Linked DNA regions of Drosophila melanogaster. The protein of the gene in region 3 interacts with the protein of the main gene of each other region in a pairwise test. Each region holds a gene or a part of one and is shown on either strand. Other genes may lie near its edges.

Region 1 (7,667 bases), on a different chromosome or scaffold from region 3:
AGCTGGTGTTACCATCGACTGGCCTCTGGACAGGATGGAGACGCCTGGGCAACCGCTGGCTGCTGCCTCAGCTACGTCATTCGCTATGGATGCTGGCGTAGCTGTACCTGTGAGCAAACAATTTAGTCGACGTTAATGGATTAATTGTCACGGAACATACTTTGTTTGTTGGCCAATTTGGGACGTTGCTTTTTGGCTTGCTCTTGGAAAAGCACTGGCTGCTGGCACGTATCGGTTGTATCGGGCAAGTCCGACTGTACTAGCGGCAGGCTATTGTGGGTCTCCGTGACATTGTCCACTGCAAGAGGAATCATTAGACTTTGACACTTGAAGCCCGGCTAACTTCAATTCAACATTTCAACGATATTGAGATGCTTCCCTTCGTTTACAAATACAATTCTAAAGAAAATTTGGACGTTTTTATGAACTCACCGTCACTATATTGCCAGAAGCTTAGATGGTCTTCTGCGTTGCCCGAGTGGGCTAGTATGTCTTTTACAATTACGCTGATCTGATCTTTATCCGTTGATTTGGGTGGAGGCGATGGGTGTACGTCCTGACCGACAGCGTCTTTGCAGTACACCGCTTCTGGCACCTTTTCCAAGGAAACGGACTGCTTAAGGGAACTCGCCGGCTTCACAGTCTGCATCTGCTGATCTACCATTGCGCCAGACAATAACGATGACCCCGAGCCAGAGTCCATCAGAGTGGGCGCCTGGTACAGGCACAAGGTACTATTGTCATCCAGAGCTGTGTCCAGATCTGTGTGCTGTGTTAGTGTCGAGTTTGAGTCCTTTTTTATAAAAACCGATCTTTTCCATCCATCCATCACATTCTCCATGGTGTCAGGATGGATGATGGGAATGGCGTATTTGCGCTTGCATACCTTATCGCTGTTGGCCCCCAGTTGCGGTGCTGTTGTTACTGACGGAGTTGGAAGCGAGGTGGTTGAAAAACCACTGGCCACCGCGGGAACTCCAGTCACACTTGGGACACTAGGTAAGGTGGTGGCGCTGTTGCTCTGCAAGTGCGGAGCAAATGTGTGCAGCCCGCCTGGTGGTTGGGGTGGCGGCGCCTGCATTCCAGCCGGAGCCAAAATAGGGGTCGTCATCCCGGCGGGCGGTCCCAATGCCAAACTGGGAATGCCAAAGTTGTGCGGCAGATGATGAAAAGCAGCAGCTCCGTTCAGTGCACCGCTGCGCGAGTTCATCATTGGAGCCACATTTGTCGGAGCGGGACGTTGGGCATTTCCTGGGGCCATGGTATATGCGGTAAAGTAGTTGGTATGTTGGGCGGTGGGAGTAGATCTTTGCCCTCCGCGCATATTGCCGCGATGTGTATTGGCACCACTAACCACGTTGTTTCCAGCAGAGTTTTGAGCGTTCGGCCCAAGTTGGTAGTAAGCTAGTGTCGGCGTTTGAGCAGCTCCCGGTGCCCCGCCTGGACCTTGTTGTTGAGCAGTGGGAGGAAGCTGTTTCTGTTGTGGAGGAGGTGGCGCAGCCGCATAGAATGAAGCTCCAGCCGCTCCGTTAGTGGGAAAGGTCACAGCTGGCTGCATGCCCATCAGAGGTCCGGTCTGATTAATTGGTATATAGGTGGCGGAAATGTAGGGTCCACCCGCATTTCCGCCGGCAGGTGCGATCAGGCCAGCTGATTGTTGAAAGTGGGGTGGTAGAGTTGGGTTGCTCAGGGCACGAGGCATGTTTGACCCCGGCGCCACGCCATTTGCTCCACCATGGTGACCACCAGTAAGAGGATGTCCCAACGTGTTGGAACTGGCGGCGGCGCTCAGTTGGAGGGTAGCGCCGCCGCCGTTGGCACTGTTGTTAACCGCCGCGGAATGCGCGGCGTAGGACGGCTGGGTATTGTAGAAGATGACCGGCTGGTGGTGCGCCTGGGCCTGGGCTTGCACCTGCTGCTGTTGTTGCTGTTGGATGTGTTGCTGAAGATGAGCGGCGGCGACGGCTGCTTGTTGTTGGTGTTGCTGCTGCTGCTGTTGCAGTAAGTGCTGCTGCTGGTGGTGGTGCAGGCCGCTGTGGTTCGGGACGAACACTGCGTGGGACTGCTGCTGCTCCTGCTGTTGCTGGAGGTGATGGTGGTGCGAGTGCGTCGCCTGGTGATGCTGGGCTTGATGGTTGTGGTTCTGCTGATGTGTCGACTGTGGCCTGGTTCCCTTCCCACCCCCTCCCTGTTGAGGGAACATAGGAGGACCTTCGAAGGATCTGCACACGCATACAATCGCACCGTCACACGCACAGGCACACACGGAGAGTTAGGAAAACCGCGGCCAGAGCAAAACAGATGTACAAATCGTAATGTTAGTAAGATGGAAATGAAAGTGAAAATGGAGTTGGCGATGTGGAAAATGCTTGGCGTATTAGGTTTTCAGTCAAAGCCGTGAGTACATGCGAATGAGAGTTAAATCAAACGTGTGCAAAAGCAACCAAAAATGATCATGCAAATTATGTGTTTACATCTTATGACTAAGGGCTATTTTACAAATGCACTCCCTCTTTTACCCTTTTCTTTATTCTTTAATATTTCAATCAATTGAGCTCTTTAATTGGAATGTGGTGTATGATGTCACTCGCGGGGCGTGTATACATCCAAAATGCTTTCGAAGATGGCTCGACACCTTATCGCGCCGGTTTTATCAATGGACTAGTCACTTGCGCAGCCTAAATACTTGTACATAGGTGACACACGGTAACAAGTGGCGCTATTAGTCAGTACTGGCCTTAAAGCGGAACAAAACAAAGGCAGCCACAAAGAAGCAGCTGCCAGCGAGCGTAGGAGGTGAGCTATGGGCTGCTGTCGTCTTTATGGCTACAACCAGTTTGGCATTCCGTCAGCACTTCCATCGGCACAGTGGAGACCGCAAGAACTAGATCACTTAAAACTGTTTACGATATGATTTCTTTTAGTTATAATACTACCAAACGGAATTTCATTGTTGTTTTGCTAAGCAAGCGTTCAATGCTGATTGATAAGAATATGAAGACAAACATTGGCCAATATTCACTGTGGTGTTCTCTTTGGAGCTCTCTGCTGGCCTAGAAAAACCAACTCCGCTGCAGTTTGCGGCCAAGCACCTTCAAGCCAGAAGAAAACCAGTTTTCCAGCAGACGAAGTACGTGCATGGCTCTTTTCACTCCATGGCGAGGAAAACGAAAACCTGGCTGGCAGATAGGCTCACTTGTTTCATGTTTGTTTGTAAACAAAACCAGTTGGAGTGTGTGGGTGCTGCTCTAAATGGGATCGCGATCGCTTATTGGGAGTGCATTCGTACTGGAGGCAGTGTGTTATAGTAGTAGTAGTGTGTTATTAAACTAATAAACAAACAATTAATGTAAATTGCGTGAAAAAGCAAGCAAATACTAGAATGGGAGTAAGTTGTAAGTCAGATTTCGAAACTTACCGCTTCCTGTGCTTCGATTGGTAGATGTGATGATTATAAGGGTATTCGATTTATCCTATTTCTTAGTTCCTAAGGTAGACCTGCCTTTAAGCCTATCCGGCTTCCCTTGACACCTGGTCAAGCTCTACGCCTCCTCCTGCTGCTGCTTATTTGCTCCTCCGTTCCTTTTTCCTATTTCTCGTGGAAACTCCTCGTCTTTGTGGTTGTTGGCTCTATCCGGAATACTACAATAGCTCAGATATTCCATGTATAAAAATACTCCAATTCACTGTGATGCACATGCACATCTGCATTTGTGCAGACGGACGAGGGGCACGTACACGTACATGCGTACAAATATACAAAATAACGTACGGCTAGTGCTAAAATTTCACGGTAATTTGTTCTGTAATTAAAGGCGTTAGAGGAAGTTAAAACGTATGCTTAAATTTTGCAATTGCGAGGAATCAAAATTACAATATGATGAATATGAACACCAAAGCAGCGCCTGCTACGAATTTATTCCCTCTCCTTGTCCAGCTGAGCAGCCTCAGCCCCGGATTGAGAATGAGAAATGGGCAGCCAAGTGCCAATTCGTAATTTGACACTAATGGCAAGGGGACTTTTTGTAGGTTTTTAACCTTTTTCAGATTTTCAGGTAATACTTTTCCCCGAAAAGGCGAGGCGTTGGTTTATGTTTTTTTACCGTTTTGACTTTTTGCCGTTCGCTCTTTTTTTGCGCTCTCTCTGTCTCTGTCTGGCCGCCAGTACTTACCGTTCTGCTCCTGCTCGCTAGCACGCTCTCTCGCTCGCACTCCACACACAAAACTGAGGAAGGAAACAAAAAAAAATGCAGTTCCACGCGGGGAACACGCCAAAAAGTTGCTCTGGCACTGCGCCTTTACATTAGTGCATCGTCTGCTTCACCTCGTTATGTATACACGGCTCACTATCTGTTACAAACAATTTTGTAATGTAAATAGTCTGCAGAAACACGTCCGTTTCGTTTGATGAAATAAGAGTGACCGTTGCACGTAGGGATGGAACATAACTCGATGGCGGCAGCATCGATGTCTACGCAGCGAATATCGATTGTGAAAGTTCCAGAAATATCCCGCAGGAATATTATACATTTTAGTGCGTCCTCAAACCGGGGTGGAGAACTTGGATTCAAGCTTGGCGCGTAATATTTTGAACGTTCTTCATCATAAGAATAATCATTCTTTCGAAATAGAAAAATAGGCCTTATGCAGGTGTTATAATAACAATTATTATATAATGCGCATTGTGGTGCATGACGCAGAATATCATATAAATTCCACACATATTTCGCTGTTATTATTGTTTATTCTAACTTTACATTTTAATTTGAATGATATATTCATAATTTACGCATTCGTAGGACAGCATATGCGCAGAATCCTGTTTCCATTCCATTCGCAACTTCCGGATTGCCTCCCCTTAATGCTCTTAGACTACCCCTCGTGCAGAAATTGCAGTGTTTACGCGCTTGTAGTAAAAGTTTTGCTCTTTCTGTTTTGCCGGATGCGCAACGCCCTCCACTTCCCACATAATCCTTTACTCTGCGCCCTCACCTCCCTCTAGTATCCGTTTTTCCAATGCTATACCCTTCTCTACTTATTACTCCTTATCTCAGTATACACTATGGCCAAAACTTTAAAGTAAAACGAGTGCAAGAATGAACTCGGAGCCTTATTGCAGCCTAAAAAAATTATATACACATAGAGCCCACAAACAGAGTCTGAAGGGATTATTTGGTGGTTGAAAATGCAAAAAGACTAGACCGCAAATGCAAATATTTTAACTTGGCACAACGAAACCGCATACGGACTGTCCGTATTTTGCATTTTTTTTTTTCCATTTCAGTTGTGAAGTCATTTGCAATGCTTGTTTTCCTGTGCGTACTGTCATGTTTTTGTGGCCTTTGCGGTTGCACTAAAGATAGTGTGAGGACAACAGATGAGTAAATGGACGAGGCTCTTACTTTTTTTCAATAATTTTGCTCTCAGCACAAACATTTTGAATATAACGGTCGCTGAGTGCGCTACCTGAGCGGCAGGTTTTGACAATACAATTCGAAAATGAAATTGCAACACTTTCCGAAATTTGGATCAAAAAGATACGATTTTTAAAGTTTTATTTAAATTTTATACATTTTTCAAAGATAATATCGTCTTACATCTTATTAATTTATTTAAAAGTATACTTATTAATTGAATCCCCCTTAAAAAAAAAGCCTCTGCTTTTTGGTATATTTTGAACCCATAATGATTTAATTTGGTATTTCTTTCAGCACCGCATGGTATCTTTCGGGGACGCGAGTGCAGCCACACCAAAAGCGAATTCCTTTACTCCCGCTGCGGTCACACTAAGTCCGAAGCTTGATTCGCCCTGACGCGCGTAACGCTTTTTTCCCGCATCACTTTCCTCCACTTTGGCGCTGAAAAATTCTGCACAACAAGAAGAGAATGCACCAAACTGAAATTGCAACCGACTGCGACTACTGCACCTGAGCCGGTTACGAAATCAACTCTTATATTACTCATATAATTTTGGCATCCATGTAGAAACGAATAAAAATAGTGCGCGAACTGAAAACCCGTTAAAACGAGAATGGGCATAGCCCAAAATAAAACTTTTTCGTTTCTTTTTTACCGTTTATTTAACACAATCAATTAAAATAAAACCAAACACAAGATTTACTCAAAGTAAATCGCGTATAAGCTCGACTACCATAAATGTTAATGTGAAAATTGTGCAATAATTAGAGAAATTTCTAAAAGAAATTCATAAGTGCGGTATTCGTAAATTGCATTGTTTGCAAATGCAAAAAGCAAATGTTATGCAACTATAAGTTACAAGTTAAAACATACAAAAAGTAAACAGAAAATTAATAACCAACCGACAGTACATACAGATAAATGTATATATATAGCGAAGCAATGTGTGTATATAGAGCACTTTGAGACCTCGAAACAAGGACTTCGCCAAGGACTACGGATTACTACACTTTGCCGCCAAGCTCTTTGGCTGGCTTAAAGGAAACCCACCAAAATTAAGAAAACCTAATCTGAAACAAGGTCGAAGCGCGGAATTCCGAACTCCCACCTAAGCCCCACCCCCGGCCTGGAAGCACCTGTGCCCGAAAAACCAAAACCCCGGGCATTCTCACCCACGCACGCAAGCGCAGGATTCTGGTAACCGTCGAGGCATCCAAAAGTTCGATACGAGTGGAAAAATTTGGGAGCCAACGAAATTACTTTTGCTTTGATTCCGCCTTTTGTTTCAATCGCCCAGCCGAAAATGTGGAGGAAAGCGAGCAGGTTGGTCAGGGAAACCACCTCGTGGAAAACGCGTCGTCAGGGACAAGCGGAAGCCCCATCAGCAGCAGTAGCAACAATAAAACCATCGACAAGGACGAGCACGCCGATTGCCCACGGATTACCCATCATCATCACATGGTCGCAGCTCGCTATTGTTGCTGCTGTTGCAGTGCTCCTGCAATGCCACGTCTGTCAAGGTAAGTGAGTGGCACCCATCCTCCATTCGTGTGTCCCGTGGGTGTCCTTCGAAGTGTCTCTGTGTGGGTGCCAACGGACAGCGAGGGGTCACATATTAGGAGCGGAAAGGTCACCAATTAATACTGCAGAATCGGAAAGAAGACGCATAATAATAGCAGGGAATGCTGGTCTATTTTTATTCCAAATCATTCCAATTCATTTAATAAAAAAAAGTGGAGTTTGTTCAGTAATCCTGGGTGTTTTACAAATCAACTCAAGTTATACTTTATTGACTGCACAGCGCTTCACAATAATTTCCTTTCTGTTTACTATGTGACACTTTAATTAAACATTGCTCATACGACCTGTAGGCCAACTTTAATCCTCTCTTTGAACTTTAAAGATTCACAGGATTTGAACATTTTTAACATTTCGGTAGAATAGCTTCCATGCGAATTGAATTTATTGATGAGGCAGCGTGCAAAACACTTTCGCTTTTTTTTTTTGTTGGCATTCATTAAGAATGCTGAGATAAATGCTATCTTGTGGCTTGTCGGCACATTCACCAGATGGCTCAATAAGTGCCAAAGCCGGATCACAAGTATGACGAATTTGGCCTTAGGCAAGAGTGGTTAAGAGTGAATACTTTAACGAAACCTCAATTAATTCGAGTGCCCCTTTTTTTCGCCAAACCTCAAAACCCTCGAGAGTTGCTCAATCTCAATTGAGGCTTGGCGAGTGCGAACTCA
Region 2 (8,082 bases), on a different chromosome or scaffold from region 3:
TAATAAGCGCCTGGGACACTTGAATGATACGGGACAGAATCCGAATCGCGTGCGAGCCTACTCGGTTGGCTCCAAATCGAAGATACCGCGCTGCGACCTGCAGCGAGTGGTCCTCGTGGAGGACAATAAACATGAGTTCACAGCGAATAGGAGTCAGAGTAGCATTACCAAGGAAGGAACCAGCTATGGCAGCAGTGCCAATCGACAAAAGAAGTCCACAAGTGCTCCACTCCTCAGTCTGAAGAACCAGATAAACTCCGACCGAATGAGTGACTTAATGGAAATTGATTTTTCACAAGCAACCAATTTGGAAAAGCAGAAGTTCATCAAGAATAATGAAATTCCGAAATACATTGAAAACGTGTTCCCAAAAGCCCCGCGAACGGATAGCTCCAGCCTAACTCTGCACGCCACAAGTCAAAAGGACATTTTCAATGGCACCAAACTAAATAACACTGCGATCACATCCGAGGATGGTTACCTCGAGATGAAGCCAGTCGGTAATGGATACACTCCCAGTTCGAATTGCCTGCCAATGAAAGTGGAGAAACTCAAGCTATCCGACTATCAGACAGCACCGCCACTCACCGCAACAGCCGCACCAGTGCACGATTTAAACAAAATTAGCACATACAATATATCCGCTGAGAAATGGAGAGAACAGCCCAGCAGAAGCGAGGAAAAGAAGTCGAACTCGCCATTGAATGACAACACCTTTAGCTCGAAACCCACAAATGTCGAGAGTACAAGCAAAAGCCATGATGTTCATTCAGCAAATCAAATTGATTGCGAGAAAGTGTGCGCGCAGAGCAGCGATAAGCTAAATAATCATCTGGCCGACAAGATTGTCGAGAACAACAATTTGGATATAGGCGGGCATGAGGAAAAGAAGTTGGTTCATTCGATAAGCAGCGAAGACTACACACAAATCAAGGACAAATCGAATGATTTCACAAAATTTAACGAAGCCGGCTACAAAATTCTGCAAATTAAAAGCGACAGCTCACTCATCTCATCGAAGCTATACCAAAAGGGTATACACAAGGATAACTTGGAGCGTTCGCAGAGACTTACAGAGAGTGTGAATACGATTCCCGATAATGCCACCGCCACCGCGGTGAGCAGCAGCTCACTCACCAAATTCAATATAAATTCAGCAAAGCCAGCCGCCGCCGCCGATTCGCGTAGCACTGGCACAGATCCAAGTACACCACAGAACATTCTACAGATTAAAGATTTGAATTTCCCCTCAAGGTCGTCGTCTCGCATATCCCAGCCGGAGCTGCACTACGCCAGCCTAGATCTTCCCCATTGCAGTGGCCAAAATCCAGCTAAATACCTGAAGAGAGGATCACGCGAATCGCCGCCGGTGTCCGCATGCCCGGAGGATGGGAATACCTATGCGAAAATCGACTTTGACCAATCCGACTCCTCTTCCTCCTCATCGAACATATTTAATACGTAAAGTTTTGAAATTTATGACCCTATCCTATATATATGATTTGTTTAATATTGTACATTTATTGTAAATATTCTGACAAGCAAAGCTTACAATTTTGGATGCTAATAAATAAATTTTATTTAAATTATAATGATCCCTTTGTACTTTTTTTTTGGAATCTAGTAAATCGGGTAATTGCCAATGGTAATTCTTCCATGTAAGTAAATCTAGGATTTAGCTTGATCCAAGTGTACTTCTCTTGTCCGAAAATCCTGTAATTACTTTTAGACCTTTTATTTGATTTAAACCCTTTACTAAAAACTGGATTGATATTAAACGACCTTAGCCTGCCTTTTAATAGCATTCGACTAACTTTCCTTACCAAATCCCCAATAGTTAATGTTAATACTTCTCAGCACCAAAACCCACAAAGTGAACGAGCCTTTTTTTTATAGACCAGTCATTTCAGTTATCTTAAGAGCGCATTTAAAAATTGAATTGCTTTCCATTTATTTAATACAATTTTGATTTCTGAAATAGTTCATCTGTTTTTATTGATTCCACGATTTAGACTCTATTTCAGATACTAGCGTTACACAGGGCATATCCGTTTTATTTGCTAACGTTGCCCTCCTCGTTCGCAGAATTATTCAGATCACTGTTGTTGCAAGTATCGCCAACGGATGCGCCAACGTTTGCGACATAAAGGGCGGGGTCTATGACCTTCGGAATAGGCTTTATTTCGGTTCCAAGTTCTTTTTCAATCCGATGCAGATCAAACCGATCCTCGTAGGTTATCAGATTAATAGCAATACCTTAAAATGAGAAACGAAGATTGTAAATAGGCTAAACTATAATATGAGAATGCAATTAAACTCACCCAAATGACCGAAACGTCCTGAGCGACCAATTCGATGCAAGTATGTCTCTGCCATTCGTGGGAAATCGAAATTGATTACTACATTCACGGCCTGCACGTCGATACCACGGGTGAACAGGTCGGAGCACACCAGATTGCGACAGAGTCCTTGGCGGAAATCGTGGAATACTCGATTTCTGTGTGCCTGGGCCATCTTAGCGTGTATATAGTAACAGCAATATCCAAGCTCTGTGATCTTTTTGGCCAATAGCTCGACACGTTGCGTGGAATTGCAGAATATGATAGACTGATTGATCTGCAGCTTCGAAAAGAGCGTATTCAAGCAGTGTACTTTCTGGCGCTCCTGTACGAATGCATAGTACTGAGTGACACCCTTCAGTGTTAGCTCCTCCATCAGGTTGATCTCGTAAGGCTCGCGTAAATGCTTCTCCATGAAATTCTTGACTGTTAGTGGAAATGTTGCGGAAAATAGCAAGATCTGTGGATCCTTTGGTAACTTTAGTATAACATGATCCAGCATGCCTTGAAAATCAAGCGACAATAGCTTATCGGCCTCATCCAAAACTAATATTCTGCAATGCGACATATCGGCAACTTTCTTATCCATCAGATCTAATATTCGTCCGGGAGTGGCAATAATTAATTGTACTGCAGGCGTAGGGAAAATTTAGAAAGTTGCAATTAAACCGATATTAGGTTATTTAACTATCATCAAAACCCACCTTTTTGATAAATACGAAGAATGTCATCCTTTAGAATGGTACCTCCCGTTGTGACCATTACCCGGATATCAAGATGTTTCGCCAGCTCAATACATATCTGTGAGGTTTGTAGCGCCAACTCTCGGGTGGGGACCATCACAAGTGCCTGAATGTAGTCCTTGGTTGGGTCGATTTGTTCTAAAACTGGGATGCAGTAGGCTCCTGTCTTGCCTGTGCCGTTCTTGGCCCGAGCCAGCACATCTTTTCCACTTAATGCTATAGGAATAGCTGCTTCCTGAATTGGCGAAGGGCGCTCCCATCCCTTCTCGAATATACCCATAAGCAGTTCTCTTTTAAGGCAAAACTCCTCGAATTCATTGCCTCGCGTATCGGTCACATCCTGAGTAAGGCAATGGCAATACATTTATTTGTTAGTTTGTTTGTGCTTTAAATTGTATAAATTCCGATTGATTTGTCGGCAAACTCACAGTTGTTTTGAATCGGTTGTCCTTTGGCGGCAGCTTCAGCTTTGATTTCCAGCCCATATCGTCACTTGTGTTTCCAGCAATTTGAAGATCATTTATAATCCTGGATGAAAAGAAAAAAAATAAAATGGTAATTAAAGTATTACGATATATGTAGGTCATTCACATCCATATATATATGGATGGCATATATAAGCATATATATATATTAAAAATTTTTGATTTTTAAAATTTTGTAAATGAGTTCTTTTATGTAAAGTGCATTTTAAGCTAAAGTCTAAGCCATGTATTAATGTATATTAATAATAATGTTAATATTGATTTTAAATCGTAAACAAAGATGGATAATGTCTTGAATATTTAAGAACTGAACAATCTAAAAGCGATTGAACTCAACATTTTTTCTCTTTCGCACATTTATGGAGGAGAGAAAAAGAAACGCTACTCCAAATTTTAAAATGGCAGCCCACGAATAACTGTTCATGGCGCTGAAATGCAAAAAAAAAATACCTGTTTTGTTCTGATCTCAAAAGTTGAGAATCACCCAATAGAAGTTTTACCTAAATACAGTGTTAGTTTCTAAATGATTTAAGTCAGTGCAATTATATTTAGCAACATTTTTAGCGGTAAATAAGTCCACGAGTGCAACTACATATGTAGATAACTCTTTTATACATATGTACACATGTTCCGCTACTACATACAATAAAGTAATATAAATACGGGAATCACATTGTTTGGTTTTTTTCATTAGATAACATGTTCTGCAGGTTTAGTTGTTGAGTGAAAACAGCCTAACTACATGATGTTGCTAAAATACAGATCTTCGGCTTTTACATGCTCAATCATTTGCAAAAATTGACGTTCTAAACTATAAAACGGCTTGTCTTTTCGGCATCTAATCATAAATATGGGCTGATGAATACGCATGCATATTATGTTTGTTGGGACACCAAGCTTGGGTCCTCTTGTGAAAAAAAAAATATAAATAAATATAAAATATACAAACCCCTTGCTTGTTAAATTAGTGTGCCCAGAATTTAACTTTTCAGTCATCATTATTCACAGTGAAATTTTAGTTTAGTTTGTTTAAAAAATGTATTTCGCTCTCTTTTGCTTTCGGCTGACTAATGAAGTCACTGTATTCACCGATTTTCATATACTGCTCACGTATTCAACTTTGCGTTTCAATATAAAATTTCACTTAGCTTCAAAATAGTCGAGTCGCCTTACAACATGCTATCAATAATACAAATTTCTGATGACTCGGAAAATATTTTCACTCGGTGTAGATAATAAATATGTATTGCCCTGATTTGGAACGTTGGAATGAAACAAATTTTGCAAGTTCAAAATGACGAACAATAATATTGTAGAAATTTATACATGGCTTAACAAAAACAAATGAACGTTTTAAAATTAGTCCACATATTTAGGCAAGAATTATTTTATTTAAAAAAAATCGGCATTTAAATTTTCCTCTTATAAATCCTGTAGGTGTATATGTATACCCAAATATTTCACATTTTTGTTGTGTTAGCTGCTGTTGCCGTTATTTTAAATTTAAATTAATTTAGAAAAGCATTTCCAATGAGCAACTCCACTCCGGCCGGGTTAAAATCACCGTTTAATTATAACAAAAACAATATATGAACTGCATTTCAGATGAAGCAGCTGCCTGTGTGAACGGGACTTAGGAACGACAGGAAGATTTCGAACGTGTATGAAAGAAGAACATCTGAGTTAAGCTTTAATTTGATTGTCTGCGATTTTTATGAATATCTTTTCATTTATAATTTATAAGTATTAAATATTTAATGAAAGATCACATTAGAAACTAACTAATAACATTAAAATGAATAAAAATTATTTTTTTGATTTTTCTTTTCTTAACCAATGGATTTATACTTTATTTATACTTATTCCGATTGGAGAATGACAAAATTAATATATTTGTATTAGAATAAATAAATAGTACTTGCGATAGAGGAGATTTGTATATTATAAAAATGACATTTATGTTTGCGATTTTAGTTTGTGTCATGAAAGAATATATGGAAAAAAGTCAGCTAATAACTAGACTTAAGTTAATTGAAAAGATAAATACTTGCGTATCGTTGACATTTTCCAGGTGATTTATGGTGCGTAGAGTACTTAGACGATTAAAGGATCCATTGCTTACCTCACCCACCTCTGTACATAAGTGTGTATGGATGTGTGTATCTGTGTACCTTATCAATTTCCCCTTAATGAGCTTTGCACAATGTTAACACGAGCAGTCGCATTTGTCTTGCCGTCAGAAGCTAGTGTACAAAGTCATCAATTGAATTGTGTAGATAGATAGATATGTGTTAGAACCACAAAGTACCTACATAAATATGCGGCCATTTGGGTGTATTGATACCATCCGTGAGCACCCCCAGCATGCTAAGTGTTAGGCACTCCATGGGGCATAACTTATTTGTATAGGCTTACGAGAATCCATAAATGTATTGCCTATATACGTCGAGCTATGTCCGTCTGTGTGCGGGCCAAATGTTTACCCATAAACATTCGCATTTGCTCGCGAAGGAATCGCGAAGACTTCAGTTCAGTTCGTTAAATCCGGCAACTGCATGCGGTTCGAAGTGTATATGGTCCGATAACGATTCCTCAATGATAAGATATGAAAAGTCCGTTCTAAGAAAAGATACAAACATTACACAAGCTCGCAAATCGGTCATTGGGTATAATAGACGAGCCGTAAACAATGAACATCGGACTAAGTTTAGTGTGCCTGATTTTAAGTGGCATTTCAAAAGTGCTCGCCGTTCAGTTATGCTGTGCCGCGAATTCGTTACTATTCAAATATCGCCGCACTGTGGACAATGCGGAAATATACCAGTGCGCTTCCGCCGCAAGCAACATCAGTGAACTTCCGGATCTTGCCCAAGTGATAGGCAAATTGATACCACCAATGGGCCTTGGATTAGAAAAGGCTATCAATGACTCAGGCCACAGCCAATTCGCACTATCAAAGTGCCAGAACTTTAGCAGTCTGAGTATAAGTGATTTAGGTGAACGCACCTTGAATTTGCGAAATAACTCATGCATTGGACTATTAAACAGACGTCTCATCGTTTTATCTTGTGAATTCGAAAAGAATGTGCCGTCTCAAAGTGTTGGATTTGTAAACAAGTGCTGCCCACAGGGATTTATTTACGTTTCCGAAAATAATACATGCAAACCGGGCGAAAGCGATTTCTTTGTTTATACTTCCATCATCAGCAGTCCAATTATATTTTTTGATAACACCCTAAACTGTTCCGACCACAGAGCACTCGTGGAATATACGTTGTCCTCCGGAAAAGTGCACTTTCATAATAATTCGTTGATTTGGAAAGATGGAACCAACAGTTTGCCCAGCTCCAAGTTTTGCATCGAAGCTATTCACGACTCCGACGATGCGGATTTGGATAGAGGTGCATTACCGGAACAGAAGTTTCTGGTGCGTGCTTGTCAGGAAATGAAAATTTGCCAAAAAATACCCTGTATTCGTCGTTGTTGTGCCGAAGGTGAAATGTATGCAAAAGGAAATTTCAGTACCTATTGCAAGATCGATGGAACCGATTTCAAATTTGAGGGTTTTCAGAACCTAAATATCAACGCAAACTTCTCAAAGCCCTCAGGTATGTCGTCACCAGTTTTGCAGTTATTTTTATAGGTCTTTATAGCAGGAAACGAGCGGCAATTGAACGCAGTAATCGCCCATTAAAGTCGTAAACTTAATGATCAAAAATATTATTAAGAATTGGAAGCAATCGATTTTGATGTTTTCCATTTGTCTGATCAAATAAGTGGTATAAACAATTGGTTTCAAGTGCCAAGCAAATTTCGCTATTGAAGTTATCTACGTCATTCATTAGTATTGACATTTTTCATTAGCTTTGTCATTTTAATTATTTTTGTCAAATTTTCTTATCTGGTTAATCAACAAGTGAATGACACATTTGCCTTTTCATTGACATAGGTCAGATTGTATAGTGTATTGTATTCAATACTTTTCAGATTTCGGTATTGTTCACGGCTTGCAGTGCCCAAAGTTTCGCTTGGATCCTGATAATTTTCCAGACGATTCGCATACGATAAATCCGTCCAATGGCTCGCTTATCATTCATAACACATTCAAAACCTATACGAATACTCAGTACTGCGTGGAACGGGTCAGACCCAATCAAAAGGTAAACTCCTTCCTATTTAAATCGACATATTTTATACAGTAGTGTCTTGTATAATCCTAATTATTTGCCTTCGTTCCTTTCAGAGCAGCTGTATACATTTTTGTGCTTTGATAATAAGGTGGTGACCGGCGACAGGATTCGCTTCAAGATGTATCCCATTGGCCTGCTCATATCCTGCTGCTTCTATGCACTCACACTGATTGTCTACATTTCAATTGCCAAATTGAGAAACCTGCCCGGCAAAATCCTAATTTGCCTCGTTAGCAGCTTGTTTGCGGCATATCTTGGAATCGCGCTGGGCCAATTGCGACCCACATCGAATGACGACATCTGTTTTCTTTCTGGTGGGTATTGC
Region 3 (7,995 bases):
GGTTGGACATACTTGTACGATCCGGTCACTTTGCCCGTCTCATCGCGCTTCTCGTTCTTGCCCTGGTTCCAATCCCTATAGCCATAGGCAAATTGACCCAAACCATCCTGACCATGATACTGATGGGCATCGTAGTGCTCCTCCACATACTCCTCGGGATGCTCGATCACACGACCCATGTAGACGAACTCTCCCTTCTCGTTGCGCGCCTCGGGCAGGGGATTCTCACCGGTTTTCGGGGCATACTCGATGTCGCCAATGCCACGCAGTTGGGCGCTGTTAAGGAATTGCTGCGCCTCCTCGGGAGTTATGTTGATCTTGAAGATGTTCTCACCGCTGGCTAGTGTGGCCTGAAATGAATTAAGCGTAAAAATAATTAGCAAAATATTAAGACAAACCATTAAAGTGTGACTTGGGTGGTTAGCAGACTTTATGGCCAATTTAACACGCTACACAATTCTCGAGAGATCACAAAAAGAAGGGGTATGATGTCATATCACCATCATCATCATCAGTGATTAAAGTCTCATCTCACATGTAACGCGATGTTTGCTTAATTTTTGCACATTGTATAACTTTCGTATTTGCACTTTACGATCCGGACACATTTGACATTTATAGAGTCACCACAACCCGGACTTTAATTGAATGGATCGGATGGATCTATTCAGAGATGCTCGTAAATATCAGCTTAATTATGCAAATTATCTGCATTTACCAGCAACAGGGCAGCCAAGATGTAGCACTTCATAGTGGATTCGATTTGAAATATGAGTTATATGTGTGGTTTATCCAGGTATCACAACGTGTATTCGCTATTCTCCAGTTGGCGGGCTACTAATAACTGAGTAACCAAAAGGCACTGCTTATATACTAACTTTTTAGATCTACTTGGTATTGTTGTTTTTTGTTTTGCGTTTTGCATAAATCTGAATGAAGATGTGCTGGCTGGCCGACTGTTTCACTGACCAGCAGCAGTCTGAGCTTCACCTGTCCGGTTTCTTACTCAGCTTTAGAATCTCGATTCGCAAAGCCAGTGGCGGCAATTTGAAGTTCATTATCGGCGTCGCTCAAATTCGCACTTCTCACACTCGACTACGGATATATGAATATTTTCGGAGTGATGCGGAGACACCTATGGAAACATTATTAATTGTATGTATGCCGTTTGGTCAATTAGTTATCTAATAGCTTTGTGGTCTACCCATCTATTGTTGACTGCCACAGAACCCTTTTCGAAACGATTCAAGTGGCATTTTCAGCGCTCGTTGGCTGTCAGTTTCGAGTATCTTAAAGATACTTTTTTGACCAATCGGAATTCATTGGTTCAGTAAGCATATTCGGCGACTGGGTGTCTGAAATCTGGTTTCGATCATCTTATCTTGATGGTATAACTAGCATTTAGATACCCATTTTTCTTCATAATTCTTAATTTTATTTGTTGCATAATTTATGAAAATAGTACGAAAAAGTACAATTTTTTATACAGGTTCTGTATAAGTTACAAGGTACCCATTAGTCGAAACCTTATTTATCGAACTTTATAACCTAACCACTTGACTATGATTTATTTACAATTAAGCATCTTTGAGCGCTTCAATTACTTTTTACTTCCAATTAATGCAAAGTATACTGCCTAAGGTTTAACTTTGACTCCGGGTTTCCTGTAGATCGGCGGAAGTTTTTTTGTTTAGACATGCGCCAAGCACTTGAAGTCCGCAATTGACTGCTGCATAATTAGATGCGATGCGATTGGAATAGAGGATGCGATGGGTAATCACATCAACACTTGGACAGGCGATCAAGTGTCAGTTCAATAAGACCGGCTCAAGTGTAATTAGAGACCACGGATCTTGGGTTTCGGGAAGGGATCTTGGGTTTTCGGATCATCGATCCAACGATCGTGCCGAGCTCTTGAAAGCCGCTTATTAGGCATTTACAAGGGCAACTGCGCAGTTGATCGGTTACAAAATGACTTAACTATTTAAATAATAAACACGCTTCACGTTTCTCAGGCTAAGTTCGTAAGCATCTTCAATTTTCGGATTGCGTCTCAACTGCAACAGTCTATTTTGAAAGTCAAGCGTTTCTAAAAGCGCCACATCATCAGCGGTAATATTATCCATCCCTCATAAATATTCCCATGTTGTTTTGGGATCTTTTGGCTATTTTTAAAGCAGACAAAGGCGAGCCAATAATGTGTGGAAAGAATTTTGGTTGGATTCAAATACGAAGCAGCTTTGGTAACAACTAAGGTTCTGGGTTAGTCATGATTCACCAACAGGTTAGACTTAGTTTTGTGGCAAAATTTAACCAATGACGTCCAAGTTCTAACTAAAGTAATATCGTTACTTTGTTATTTTATTTTTGGATATTCTCGAAAGTTTCTGGAATTCTCAAGAAAACTTAAACAATATAGAGTCGCATTATATGGAAAACTCATTGATTCATTCTTATGTTTGTTATTTTGTTATTAAATTCCAATTGATGATGCCAGTGTCTAAATAAAAACGAAGACCTAATTTTCAACCAAAAATCAGGTTTTCTGGGCTTGTCCGTATTAAACATTTTTGATAATTATTTATAATATATTGTTATTTTTTGCTGGCTTCAAAACATCAACAAATTGTGTATGATAAATGACGATGACGTTGTTGTTGATGGCGATCGCGCTGTGGGAATCAGATGAAATGTCAATTAAGTTTGCATTTATATCTTTGATTGAAGCTCTAAGATTTGCTTTGCCATTTTATGCGGAAGTTAAGCTCGGTCAGTTCTTGAAAAAGTTCCCATGGGAGCAAGTTATTTGTTTTTTGACAATAAGAAGCGTTTATTTAAAATGGCTTATTATGGCCTCAATGATTCCTAATAGGCGTAACTTACTGGTTATAAACTTGTTTAATATCGTTTCATTTTAAACCTGGATGACAGAAAATGAATTTCGGTTCAAATACAAATATTACAATAGAAAGTATGATATTTAGCTCCGATAAACATTTAACAATTTTAGTATTTTAATGGTGAAATGGTAAATTCCGCGCATGAAAAGAGATAGAAGAGATGACATATATGGAAACCTTAAAAACGTAACGGTTGCTTGGGTTTTATAACAATCAGTCAGTGACAGGCATTTCCAGAGTTGCCCTGTTCAACAATCGATAGCTGCCTTCGGTCGCTCGTCACTAACTTTCCTTTAGGCAACGGCCACACTGTCTGGCCACCAAAATCCCAAACTTAATTAAAGAATTAAATAATTCGAATAATAATTAAGCCCAGTAACCTACGCAGCTTGAGTGCGTAACCGATATCTAGTATACATTTCGATACATCGAAATCATGGTAGTGTTGGAGACGGAGAAGGTAAGGCGAGAAACGGCGAGCCGCATGGTTTCGATTTCGGCTGAGCCGTGGCAGGAACAACAAAAACAGGGTTGTTGCACAAGAGGGGAGGCGATAGTCGAGCGGAAAAGTGTGCAGTTGGCGTGGCTACATCATCATTGTGTTCACCGATTATTTTTTGCACAATTGCTTAATATTAATTGTACTTGCACGCTATTGTCTACGTCATAGCTATCGCTATCTCTGTCTGTCTCTATCAAGCTATCTCTCTTTCGCGGTCACTCGTTCTCTTTTTCTCTCCTTTCGCATTTGCATACGCATACCACACGTTTTCAGTGTTCTCGCTCTCTCTCTCTTGTCAAGACATCGCGCGCGTGTGTGTGGGTGTGTTCTTCTTTAGCTACATATACATAAATAGGAGAGCGGAGAGACAAATATGGAAAGAATGGAAAAAGAGTGAATTACTGCAATTAACCAGTCGCGAACAGTTAAATCATATTTTTGTCGGCCATTGCAGTAAATAAACCGTTGGCTTTCCCTCTTCACTTTCCACCTCCTTTCTTTGACGTTAATTTTTTTCAGTTAATCGCGCCGCTGCTTTGAACTCGAACACGAATTTTAGCCGCAACATAAAATAAAATCAAGTAACTCTTTTAACTCAAATATAAAACAACAATTCCAATTCTTTCAACAGGCAATCTGTGTTTTTATGTCAGATACGTGCGCGTGTGTGTGTGTGCTGTAATTCCATCGCCCCTTTCGATTCCGAGTTCGTTAGGAACAGCATTAGTTCGCCTATTTTAGTAGTAGCCTAGTCCGATTTTAAGTGAAACAGGATACTCCAACACCATATACTCAATAATTAGTTACAACACCCACTCAACCATACAGCAACAACAAGTTTAACGAGTTTTTTGTATTATCATTACTTAGTTTTTTGGTTAATAATACACAAGTGAAGAGCGAACTGCAGGGGAGCGAGATATCACGAAACAATCCAAAATCCACACACACTCAAACAGAAATCAAAAGCTTCGCTCTCTCGCACACACACGCACCAACCAACTATCAACTATCACAAACACCGCGACAGAGAGAGAGCGGCAAGTGAATCACGGCGAATCGAAACCGATCCGAACCCACTCCGGAGCCGAAAAAGAACTGATCCTACCATCAAACGCATCCAATAAACACGGCCGCCAACATGCAGAGCGACTTTCACAGAATGAAGAACTTTGCCAATCCCAAGTCCATGTTCAAAGTAATACTCTCAGTGCGCCTGTCGCTAAGCCAAGCTAATCTAATCTTCTGATTCCCCTTCCCATCCATTGCCATCTTCTCCCGCAGACCAGCGCCCCCAGCACCGAGCAGGGTCGTCCGGAACCACCAACTTCGGCTGCAGCGCCCGCCGAGGCTAAGGATGTCAAGCCCAAGGAGGACCCACAGGAGACTGGTGAACCAGCAGGCAACACTGCAACCACTACTGCTCCTGCCGGCGACGATGCTGTGCGCACCGAGCATTTATACAAACACCCGCTCATGAATGTCTGGACGCTGTGGTACCTTGAAAACGATCGGTCCAAGTCCTGGGAGGACATGCAAAACGAGATCACCAGCTTCGATACCGTCGAGGACTTCTGGAGCCTATACAACCACATCAAGCCCCCATCAGAGATCAAGCTGGGTAGTGACTACTCGCTATTCAAGAAGAACATTCGGTGGGTTTGCTGTTTATTGCAATTCTGCCAAGATAACCTTTACTAACTGATATCTCATTTGCAGTCCCATGTGGGAGGATGCAGCCAACAAACAGGGCGGTCGTTGGGTCATTACCCTTAACAAAAGCTCCAAGACCGATCTGGATAACCTATGGCTCGATGTGGTAAGTGCACAAAGAAACGAGTGGTGAGCGGATGGTCTATTTATAGTGAATGTACATTCTTGAAATGCAAAAATATAGAAATAGGTGTATGATTTTGCAATATAAATTATAACTTATAGAAAATATCAGCTAAAAATACGCTAGTGCTAGCTTTTGTCTTAGGAACATTCAATAGTGAGCTTATATCATAAATATTTTTCGCATATGAGTAACTACAACTGTTTTGCCTTCCAGCTGCTCTGCCTGATTGGTGAGGCCTTCGATCACTCTGATCAGATCTGCGGCGCTGTTATAAACATTCGCGGCAAGAGCAACAAGATATGTAAGTTTTCACGCACACCCAACTTCAGCGGAATTCCTTTGTTTAACGATTAATGCTTTCCAGCCATCTGGACTGCCGACGGAAACAACGAGGAAGCTGCCCTTGAGATTGGTCACAAGCTGCGCGATGCCCTGCGTCTGGGACGCAACAACTCGCTGCAGTATCAGTTGCACAAGGACACGATGGTCAAGCAGGGCTCCAACGTGAAATCGATCTACACTTTGTAGGCGGCTAATAACTGGCCGCTCCTTATTCGGTCCGATCCCACACTGATTATTTTGTCTTTCATTTATTTATCGTTATAAGCAACAGTAGCGATTAATCGTGACTATTGTCTAAGACCCGCGTAACGAAACCGAAACGGAACCCCCTTTGTTATCAAAAATCGGCATAATATAAAATCTATCCGCTTTTTGTAGTCACTGTCAATAATGGATTAGACGGAAAAGTATATTAATAAAAACCTACATTAAAACCGGATACTTTTGATCTTTGATTTTGGAGATATTTTAAAATAGAAAAAAGTTAACCTATATTGTTTTTGGGATAATTACTTGTTGTATTACTAAAACGAGCTTGTATCCTAATATGGGCACCTAAAGCAAAACTTCCAAATTTGGAATTCAATTTGTTGCTAAAAATACGTTAGCAATTTCTAGGGTGGCCAAAAAAAAATGTGTATCGATATATCGATAGGTTTCCTAAATAGACATTAAAATAATTTTAGCTTTTTACTTATATTGTTAGAGTAAATACGTTTGTATTTAAAAAATAAGTCAGTATTTTTTTTTTATTAACCTATTATTGAATTTTATATGAGTGAGAGCTTTTCCATTCAGCCAAGAACGGTCACACTGCATGTGACATGTTTCAATTGTGTAGGCGCAGTCACACTGGTCGCGTCGCTCGTAGATATCGTGTAAGGATATGTCTCCGTGTTTAGCTAAATAAAATACATAAAATATATGTGCAATTCTAACAAGCATAGCCATTTAGCGTAGAGTAGTGGAACGAACAGCTCGTACCGGGCCAGTAACAACAAATTAACAAGCAAACGCACTAAAGTTTGTCGCGGAATAAAGATATAATAATAGACCAGCTAACCAACACAAACAAACACACACACGGCCAGAAGTTCGTTGGCGTTGAAAGGGAAAAATGAAACGAAATGAAAGGAGAATAACAGTGCAATAGATTCGGTTTACATTGTGCAAAAAATCGAAGTAGCCCCTGCCAACAGGGTCGCTAAAAATAAAGAAGGCGACAGCCTCTGTTTATCGTTGGGAATAAACAAATATATGGCCAGCGGAGGAGAATCATAACAAAGGCGCAAGACTAGCCAGCATAAAAGACAAAGGAGCTCTCCTCCCCCGCGTCCGCCACCCCCCTCCCTTTTTGGGGTTGAAAACCCCCCACGCGTTGCGGTGCAGCATCGCCCCGACTATGCGATACCCTGCAATCGAGTTTATAGTGCTATAGAGAGAGAGAGAGAGAGCGAGTTACGAACAAAATGCCTTGCGACAACGCCAAAACCTCTTCGGATATCGAGCATGTGGATTGGAATTCCGGCCAGCACTATGCGAATGTCAGGTGAGTTTTGAATGCCCTTGATATGGCCAAAAAAAAAGGAATCCTATAAGTTATTCAAGTACACCAAAGAACAAAAAAAAAAGTAAAATAAAGAAAAACGAGAAATAAAATAAAATCAAGTGCAAGCACGCAATTGAAAAATCGTGGGATGGTTGACATTCTTCTTGGCATTGTCCATTGTTTATTTATAGCCAGGAAACGGACATGATTTAAATGTTTGATTGTTCGTCGTTTGGGAAATCACAATAATTAAGTTCTCAACGCAGGCTGCAAGTGCTAAAAATCAATGTGTGTTCTTTGCGCCACAATAAACAAATCCAGCTGTCCATACCGACACGCAGATAAGATATACCTTAATCGAAATGAAAACGAAAATAACCCAATTTCAAGCAGCGATTGATTCATTCCCTTAATTTGTTGCTCTGCACCAACATCAACTGTTGAGATCTCAATCGTCGTAATCCCCATCTAACGCCTGCTAATGACAATCATTAGGCAATAGTTAACAACATTGACTTGTACTTACTTACTTACCATACTAGTTCCATGCCGATCGGCAACTTCGATTGAAATGCAAATATGGACACTACGATGCTGGGAAGGTGACAAGATCTTGACGCGAGGCGCCAGCTGTTATCTGTTTATACAATTATAGGTTTATAAATTACGCGCGATTTATTTATATTGCAATCTGACGTGACAGCGGGGCATTGACCATACCCAATACTCTTACGACTTTTAATGAAGCCAATGAGGTCTAAAATGAAGATAAATCATAAATATAATTATATATCAGTCATTGAAGACGTTCTCCATAACTAAAGCAGTTTAATGGTACTGGCTTTTCGATTCACTTAATTCG

Evidence for each region.
Region 1: the proteins of eIF4E1 (region 3) and eIF4G2 interact in a two-hybrid assay, tested with the Drosophila melanogaster proteins (one study listed by BioGRID).
Region 2: the proteins of eIF4E1 (region 3) and me31B interact in binary tests that used the Drosophila melanogaster proteins (3 or more experiments, as listed by UniProt).

The regions. Positions count from the first base shown.
Region 1 is NT_033777.3:23,814,809-23,822,475, forward strand, and holds the start of eIF4G2 (eukaryotic translation initiation factor 4G2), read right to left. Parts: upstream 4,430-7,667; 5' UTR 4,173-4,429; intron 4,012-4,172; exon of another isoform or gene 3,804-4,011; 5' UTR 3,419-3,803; intron 2,223-3,418; 5' UTR 2,204-2,222; coding exon 433-2,203; intron 299-432; coding exon 161-298; intron 108-160; coding exon 1-107. Other genes in the region: CG34355 (uncharacterized protein), read left to right, coding at 6,722-6,938.
Region 2 is NT_033779.5:10,236,020-10,244,101, reverse strand, and holds me31B (maternal expression at 31B), read right to left. Parts: upstream 4,762-8,082; 5' UTR 4,567-4,761; coding exon 4,517-4,566; intron 4,164-4,516; exon of another isoform or gene 4,018-4,163; intron 3,611-4,017; coding exon 3,511-3,610; intron 3,423-3,510; coding exon 3,044-3,422; intron 2,970-3,043; coding exon 2,322-2,969; intron 2,257-2,321; coding exon 2,054-2,256; 3' UTR 1,930-2,053; downstream 1-1,929. Other genes in the region: chico, read left to right, coding at 1-1,465; mthl15 (methuselah-like 15), read left to right, coding at 6,257-7,175, 7,555-7,727, 7,816-8,071. UniProt on the Drosophila melanogaster protein: ATP-dependent RNA helicase which is a core component of a variety of ribonucleoprotein complexes (RNPs) that play critical roles in translational repression and mRNA decapping during embryogenesis, oogenesis, neurogenesis and neurotransmission.
Region 3 is NT_037436.4:9,397,645-9,405,639, reverse strand, and holds eIF4E1 (eukaryotic translation initiation factor 4E1), read left to right. Parts: upstream 1-3,179; 5' UTR 3,180-3,336; coding exon of another isoform or gene 3,337-3,360; exon of another isoform or gene 3,361-3,723; intron 3,724-3,834; exon of another isoform or gene 3,835-3,983; intron 3,984-4,033; 5' UTR 4,034-4,543; coding exon 4,544-4,600; intron 4,601-4,686; coding exon 4,687-5,057; intron 5,058-5,121; coding exon 5,122-5,221; intron 5,222-5,455; coding exon 5,456-5,543; intron 5,544-5,606; coding exon 5,607-5,770; 3' UTR 5,771-6,022; downstream 6,023-7,995. Other genes in the region: Cpr67B (cuticular protein 67B), read right to left, coding at 1-350, 719-751; CG4080 (uncharacterized protein), read left to right, coding at 7,054-7,133. UniProt on the Drosophila melanogaster protein: Recognizes and binds the 7-methylguanosine (m7G)-containing mRNA cap during an early step in the initiation of protein synthesis and facilitates ribosome binding by inducing the unwinding of the mRNAs secondary structures.